2 linked regions of the Oryctolagus cuniculus genome follow. The protein of the gene in region 1 purifies or fractionates together with the protein of each later gene. This does not show direct contact. Links are inferred from orthologs where the notes say so. Each region holds a gene or a part of one and is shown on either strand. Other genes may lie near its edges. The genes, in order: OSBPL8 and GLG1.

Region 1 (3,823 bases):
TGCAGCCGGCGCACCGCGCTGATCCTGGCAGGAGCCAGGAGCCAGGTGCTTTTCCTGGTCTCCCATGGGGTGCAGGGCCCAAGCACCTGGGCCATCCTCCACTGCACTCCCTGGCCATAGCAGAGAGCTGGCCTGGAAGAGGGGCAACCGGGACAGAATCCGGCGCCCCAACCGGGACTAGAACCCGGTGTGCCGGCGCCGCAAGGTGGAGGATTAGCCTATTGAGCCACGGCGCCGGCCCTCAAATAGATAAGTGAATCTCTAAATAAATTAAATTAAATAAATAAAAGATGCCTGCTTCCCAGATGGGAGTGTTTAAAAAAAAAAAAAATGGAAAACCACTGAACACAGATTTGATCTGACTGAAAATGCTTGGATTTTTTTTTCATGCTAGTATTGCTTCAAGAGGCAATATACATACATACCTTTGAAGAGTCTTGAATCTATAATGTTAATGCTTCTTGAAATCTATTTTTGATAGTCTAAAAGAACTCTTAATGAGAAACAGCTTTAAAACTTGCTTTTCTTTCACAGTTACACTGTAAATTAAATGGTTAGTTTTCTTTCCAGATTAGAACTGTGTCCATCTACGTTTAGCCTTAGTAATTTTTTGTTGTATACTTCTGAAAAAAACTCTGGCCAAAAACAGAATTTCCTTTCTTGTTTCTTGAAAAATAAAATTAACTTGTATAATTGGCCTTTAATACAAATGAATGTATCATTCGTTATAAAATAGAGATTTATTTTACCCTGGACCCAGTCAAAATTTATTTCTCTTTTTCTTATGAATTATATCTCTAATTGTTTTGTTTAGATTTTGAGAAATTTACTATTTCTTATCTAATAATATCTATAGGATGGAAATTATCTGCTAAATTAAAATTTGGCTCAGTATGGTAAATTTTAGGTTCTATTTAATATATTAGCAATAAATAGAAATAAGATTTTAGTGATCCTAACTATCATTTTCTGTTAATGAACTGCATTTGATGGAAAAGAGTACTTTCCTTGGTGCTTCCCATCTGCATCCTTAAGAAGGGTGAAATTAAAGCTTGTTTGCATGTAAGTTGTAATTCATGCCTGATTTAGATTGTTACAGATAATAGTGGATAATATAAAGTTGAGCTCTCACAGTACTTACTCTACACCATTTACTTTATTTTGTTTTGCAGGGTCCAAAAGGTGAAGCAGTTGGGTCCATTACTCAGCCCTTACCTAGCAGTTATTTGATTATCCGAGCTACTTCAGAGTCAGATGGTAAATACAGTTTTTGGCGAATTGGATTTTGGTCTTTATTTTTAAGAGATTATTTTATATGCTTCTATGTGTTCTCCTTGGGGAAGATCTGTTTTAGGTATGGCATTTGCAACAGAAACATTGTGGTCTTAAGTTGTTTAAAATATTCACATTACTTTTTTAACTTTAATAAATATAAATTTATGAAGTACAACTTTTGGATTATAGCGACTTTTCCCCCTGTAACCTCCCTCCCATCTCCCGCTCCCTCTCCCATCCCATTCACATCAAGATTCATTTTCAATTATCTTTATATGATGAAGATCAATTTAGTATATACTAAGTAAAGATTTCAACAGTCTGCACCCACACAGAAACACAAAGTATAAAGTACTATTTGAGTACTAGTTATACCGCTAATTCACATAGTACAACACATTAAGGACAGAGATCCTACATGGGGAGTAAGTGCACAGTGACTCCTGTTATTGATTTAACAATTGACATTCTTAAAATATTCACATCATTAACTTTGTAGATGAACAGAGAAATCTAATAGGAAAGAGATATTGTGAATTGAGTCATGATTTACCAGCTTGCAGATGTCTTCTGCATCCTCCATTGACATTTTAACACCTTTTTGACTTGTTACTGTTCTTTCTGGTAACCCATTAAGTTCTATCATTTTATATATGCATTTAGTATTGTCTAAATTTTATCACTTATGAGACACATATACAGTGTTCTGGGAATTTTTTTATTCAAATACAAACTGTTCTATACTATTCTATGACAATATATAATTTATGAGCCAAATATGGTAAGAGCAAAATTTATTTATATAAAGGTAGATAACTTTCAAACCTTAGTGACTGATAATGGATTTCTTCCTCACGTTCATGTTTCATAGTTGAGACTAGCTTGAAACAGAGAATCTGGTAACCTTCCAAAGTTTCCTTTTATCAGATGATTTTTTAAAATATATGAGCTTTCAATATGAAAATGTTCTACTTGGCTGATATTTCCAGCAGATCTTGAAACACATCAATTTTAAGAATACTTAACAAATGTATATGAACTTTTTTGTTAATATAGGTTTATATTTTTATTTAAAAAGTAAAGCTATTAATGTTTCTCTTAACTAATATGGCAATTAATGATACTACTATGCAGACATTTTCGTGACTTAAAAAACTTTCATACTTGTAAGTAGAATGGATGCTAAGCCTGGAGATAGACATATCAACAACACAATGTTTTTTCAGTGGTTTGTTTATACTAAAGATAATATCCCATTTAGGATGTTTTGTGTACCTTGCTTGGTACCTTCATATTGTGCTACATTTTAGCATTCTAAGGTTTGAAAAATAAAGTACATTTATATTATATTCATTATACTTTCTAATACATGCTGTATACTATTCACTTGTAAGTGGTTTCTAAGTGCTTAGTATTTAAAAAGTATTTTTCAAACTGGAAAAGTTGCCTTAAGAAACCCTGGAAATAATTTATGTTCAAGTTAATTTTGTATTACATATTTCTTGAAGAAATAATGATATGTTTGATGATAACATAATTAAGATGGGTGCCGATTTCATAGTTTAATATACTACTTTGAATCTGTGTTCTAGGAAGGTGCTGGATGGATGCTTTGGAGTTGGCTTTGAAATGTTCTAGTCTTCTTAAACGTACAATGATCAGGGAAGGAAAGGAACATGACCTGAGCATTTCATCAGATAGCACACATGTGACGTTGTATGGCTTATTACGTGCTAACAATCTCCATAGTGGTGACAACTTCCAGTAAGTAGATACTGCCACTAAATTGGTTATGATTTCAGTGACCGTATTGTTCACTGGATTAGTTCAAAGGCCTAGAATTTTAGTAGCGTAACTAGAATTGAAATTTTCCTATCTTCCCATCATGTAGTCTAAGATATAGTTTAAAATTTATTTAGAGGCTGGCATTGTGGCACAGCAGGTTAAGCTACCCCCCCGCAACACTGGCATTCCGTTTGTGTGCCGATTCATGTCTGAGCTGCTGCACTTTGATCCTGCTCCCTGCTAATGTGCCAAGGAAAGCAGTGAAGGATGGCCCTAGTACTTGGGCCCCTGCTACCCACATGGGAGACCTGGATGAAGCTTCTGGCTTCTGTTCAGCCTGGCCCAGCCCCAGCCATTGTGGCCATTTGGAGAATGAACTAGCAGTTGGAACATCTCTTTCTCTCTCTGTAATTCTGCCTTTTTAATACATAAATAAATGGCTTTTAAAAAAATTTTTAACTACTATAGTCAGATGTAGAAATTTTATTTCCTTGATTCTAACCAATGTGAATTACTTTACTGTTCCCACATACAACCCCACTAACTAACCATTTTGTTTTTGCATGTGGTGTTCCTTCTAGGAAGAATGATTTTTGTTCTTCCTCTTTCCTCCTGTCATAACCCAATATATTTTTCAAGATAAGTTTCAAATATTACATCATATGTGAAGCATTTCCTGCCTAATAACAGTGACATGTGATCTGTCTTTCTATTGCCGTTCTGTAGCACTTTTTTTTGTCATAGCTCTGGGCTTACTCTACCT
Region 2 (3,823 bases), on another chromosome or scaffold:
CCAGGCAATGTGCTCCCTGGGAGGCAGCCATGATGGCTAAAGTAGTCAGGCTCCTGCCAGTCCGTTGGGAGACCTGCACTCAGCTCTGAGCCTTGGAACTGGCTAGGGGTCACTGTGGGCATTTGGGGAGTAAACTAATGAGTGAGAGCTCTGCCTCTTAAAGAAAGAACGACAACATAATCAAAACAAAGCTCAAATATTGCTTAGAAGTCCTCCTCAAAGTTCTGTGGTTCTTTTTTTGTAATATCTATACTGGGGCCGGTGCTGTGGCACAGAAGGCTGGGTGGCTGCCTGCAACTAGTTAAGAGTCCCGGCTGTTCCACCTCCAATCCAGCTCCCTGCTGATGCGCTGGGGAAAGCAGTGGAAGATGGCCCAGGTGCTTGGGCCCCTGCCGACCATGTGGGCCGAAGCTCTTGGCTTCAGTCCTGGCTGCTGCAGCCACTTGAGGAATGAACCAACAGATGGAAGTTCCGTCTCTGTAACGCTTTCAAATAAATAAATAAATAAATAAGTCTTTCAAAATAAAAGACAAAGCTTTTCAAAAAAGGTCAAGTATATTATTTCTGAAATAAACTGAATTTTTAATTTCTTGGATTTTCACCAACACTCACTGACACACCGGTTCTGACATTTTGCTTCAGTACCGCACTCCCGGTGCCCTCCGACAATGGTCCCAGTGCAAACATGAGAGGCTTTCCCAGCAGTTAGTAGAGGTGACAGAATGCTCAAATTACAGGAGGTTAGCAGTCAGGGTCCATATTACAGTTTGGTAAGGGGGAACAGCAGAGAATGCCAGGTAGCAGGGTCTAGCTTTTGATTCTGTCACTACGTGTGTAGACTACAGCGTTAAAGTGAAGACGACAAAGGCGGAGAAAAGGAACTGAGGGAAGAGCAAGGTGCGGGAGGTCACCTTCTTGCACATCTCCGTCTTGATCTTGAGCAGGTTCACTTTGAGGCACTCCTCCACTTGGCCTGTCTGCTCTTGGGCCGCTGCTTCCTCAGCACAGAGACTGGAGATCTGTTCAGACAAAAACAAGGCCTCCCCTTGGGCACAGAAACCAGCAGTTTCCAAAGCAGGTGAATCTGGTGATTCTAACCGGGCCCTGCACTTCACAGTGCATTTGCTCCTTCCACAGGGGCCAGCTGCTGTGTCATGAACAAGGGACAGTGCTGCCAGAACCAGAAATCTTAGTTTCCAAACATGCTCACTTGGTGATCACAGCTTCCTGGTGGATTTCACGTCTCTCTGCCACACTGGCTGGCAGCCTCCATTTGGACACACAGAGCTGCAACTCAATGAATGCACCCATCTCACTGCCAACCCTGTGGCTGGAGGCAGCCTGTCCAAGAACTATCACAAGAAAGGTGACTCCCTGACTCTGACAAAGCAAATGATAACAAACGTCTGGCCCAGACTCTCAATTGGGATGTATGTGCACAAAGGGTTCTAAAACACAGCCCACAGCAAAGATACAAACTTAACTTTATATACAAAGTTTTATGAGCAGCTTCTTTAAAACATCTTTAGTGTTAATCTCCTAAAATTAATGTATGTTGAACAGGTTCTCTAGATGGCTACAAGGTTAAGTAATTTCCAAGGATGGACACTTCTTGAACAGCTATCATGGGAGCACTTCTGTCTTTTTTGGGCCTTCTGAGTTGACCATATAGAATAAAGAGAAGCAAAGAACAAATCATACATGGAGAACCATCATTAAAAATGCCCTTACTCAACAGAGAAATATGGAACCAACACTGTAGGACCAATGCGAAATCTAATCTAGTGTTGCAAAGAACCAGGAATTCAAGTGATACAGGGCCCAGGACATGGGTTTCAACCAAGCCTGGACTCAGCACTGAAGAGAAACCATAGTGAAGAACACCTCCCCTCCTCCCGATCTCTGACCAGCTCTGGCCCACGTCCTACCTCGTCTGAGCAGTGCAGCTGGAGCTGGGGATCGAGTCGATAATCCAGGGCCGACTCCTGGATGATGACTCGGATTTGGTCTTCGCAGTCTGAAGACAGGCGCTGCGTGGGATGCAGGGAGGACGTGTCAGCCCGGGGAAGGGGGAAAAGGTCTGGGGACAAGGGGACAAGAGGTGCCCCAGGGCAACCACCAGCCTACCTGGTCGGCGTATCGCAGCTTGAGGCAGGAGATGACCTGGCCTTCCAGCTCTGAATCATCCTTGGCCTTACTGAGGATCCCGTGGCAGAACTTAGGTATGTCCGCTTTGCAGGCTTTCCTCAGCACGGGGTTTAAGCGGTAATCTACAGCAGACAGCAAGAAGTATGCAAGAAAGCTTCATCCCTGGGTTCACACATTTTCAGAAATCCAATTCCCCATAAGGGATGTAGGTGTCAACAACTGAGGATGACTGGTTTGTTTCCTGGTAAATGTCTGCTGAGCTCTCACTCCTCTGCTGTCAATCAGCAGTACAAGTTCACACAAAGGCACTTCTGCAGGGCCTGGGAATCCTTCTCCTCTGCAGCACCTCTAAAGGATTTGTGGGGGTGGGTGTTGTGATGTAGTGGGTTAAGGCACCGCCTGCAATACCAGCATTCCATATGAGCGCTGGTTCAAGTCCCAGCAGCTCTGTCTCTGACCCCAGACCAGTACTCTGCTGATGTGCCTGGGAAAGCAGCATAAGATGGCCCAAGTGTTTAGGCCCCTGCTACCCATGTGGGAGACCCAGAGGAAGTTCCCGGCGTTAGCCTGGCCCAGTTCTGGCTGTTGTGGCCATTTAGGGAGTGGACCAGCAGGAGGAAGATCTCTCTTTTCTCTCTGTAACTCTTTAAAATAAATAAATAAATAAATCTTAAAAAAAAAAAAAAAATAAGGTCCAGTATTGTGGCATAGCAGGTTAAGTTGCCACCTAAGACACTGCCATATCACATGGGTACCAGTTAGTGTCTCAGCTGCTCCATTTCCGAATCAGCTAATGGCCTGGGAAAAGCAGCAGAGGATGGTCCAAATGCTTGAATCTCCGTAAGCCACATGGGAGACCCATATGAAACTCCTGGCTCCTGGCTTCAGCTTGGCCAAGACCTGGCTGTTGTAACCATCTGGGGAGTGAACCAGCAGACAGAAGATCTGTCTCTCTCACACAATACATACATAAATCTTTAAATAAAAATAAAGGGTTTGTGGTCCCATATCCTAAGTAATCCATACAAAGATTAAGCAAATTTCAGCAACCTTGCCTGTCACAGTTAAAACATTAGGAGACATCCTATTCAGGTTCTTGTAAGGCAGAGTTGAAGTTTCTCTATTCTGAACCAAATTACCTGCCACATGTATAAATCATTAAATCTCCAGACTTTTCTAAGGAACTCAAGTCCTCATTCCTTTGCTTTGCTTTCTTTCTTAACCAATCCTCACTCCTCTTTTATCAAGGACATTTTTCTAGTTCTCAGCTTCTTCCTTCTTGCACTTTATTCCTTTTCTCTAGATATTCCCTCAAAGGAAGACTAAGGCAATTTGCTCACATCCAGACTCCACTGTTAAAATGCAGACAGCAAGGCACCTTGGCTGACTTTGGTACCATATGTCCTTTCCACTCCACTCTGCTCCACCTATAGCTGAGCACTTACCGGTGTTCTGGGTGATCTGGCGCTTGGTTATCATCTGCTTGCACTTGGGGTCCATCAGTTCACTGTTTTTATTTTGCTTTAAGCACTGCAACATAGTTTTAGAGTCTGCTTCCGGACAGAACCTCTGCAAAGATACAAGGATTTATAAAAACAGTTATCCAATAGTGGTAACTGACCCCGACTGTGATCACTCTTCTGTGACACAGCGTAGTAAAGAACTGTGTGAGAAA

What was found.
Region 2: the proteins of OSBPL8 (region 1) and GLG1 purify together in Homo sapiens (co-immunoprecipitation; 3 studies listed by BioGRID and IntAct, with this or other methods). This does not show direct contact. The link is inferred for Oryctolagus cuniculus from reciprocal best matches to the Homo sapiens genes OSBPL8 and GLG1.

The regions. Positions count from the first base shown.
Region 1 is NC_091442.1:78,875,592-78,879,414, reverse strand, and holds part of OSBPL8 (oxysterol-binding protein-related protein 8), read left to right. Parts: intron 1-1,172; coding exon 1,173-1,257; intron 1,258-2,867; coding exon 2,868-3,039; intron 3,040-3,823. UniProt on the Homo sapiens protein: Lipid transporter involved in lipid countertransport between the endoplasmic reticulum and the plasma membrane: specifically exchanges phosphatidylserine with phosphatidylinositol 4-phosphate (PI4P), delivering phosphatidylserine to the plasma membrane in exchange for PI4P, which is degraded by the SAC1/SACM1L phosphatase in the endoplasmic reticulum.
Region 2 is NC_091449.1:57,072,143-57,075,965, forward strand, and holds part of GLG1 (Golgi apparatus protein 1), read right to left. Parts: intron 3,718-3,823; coding exon 3,594-3,717; intron 2,271-3,593; coding exon 2,128-2,270; intron 2,031-2,127; coding exon 1,929-2,030; intron 1,020-1,928; coding exon 912-1,019; intron 1-911. UniProt on the Homo sapiens protein: Binds fibroblast growth factor and E-selectin (cell-adhesion lectin on endothelial cells mediating the binding of neutrophils).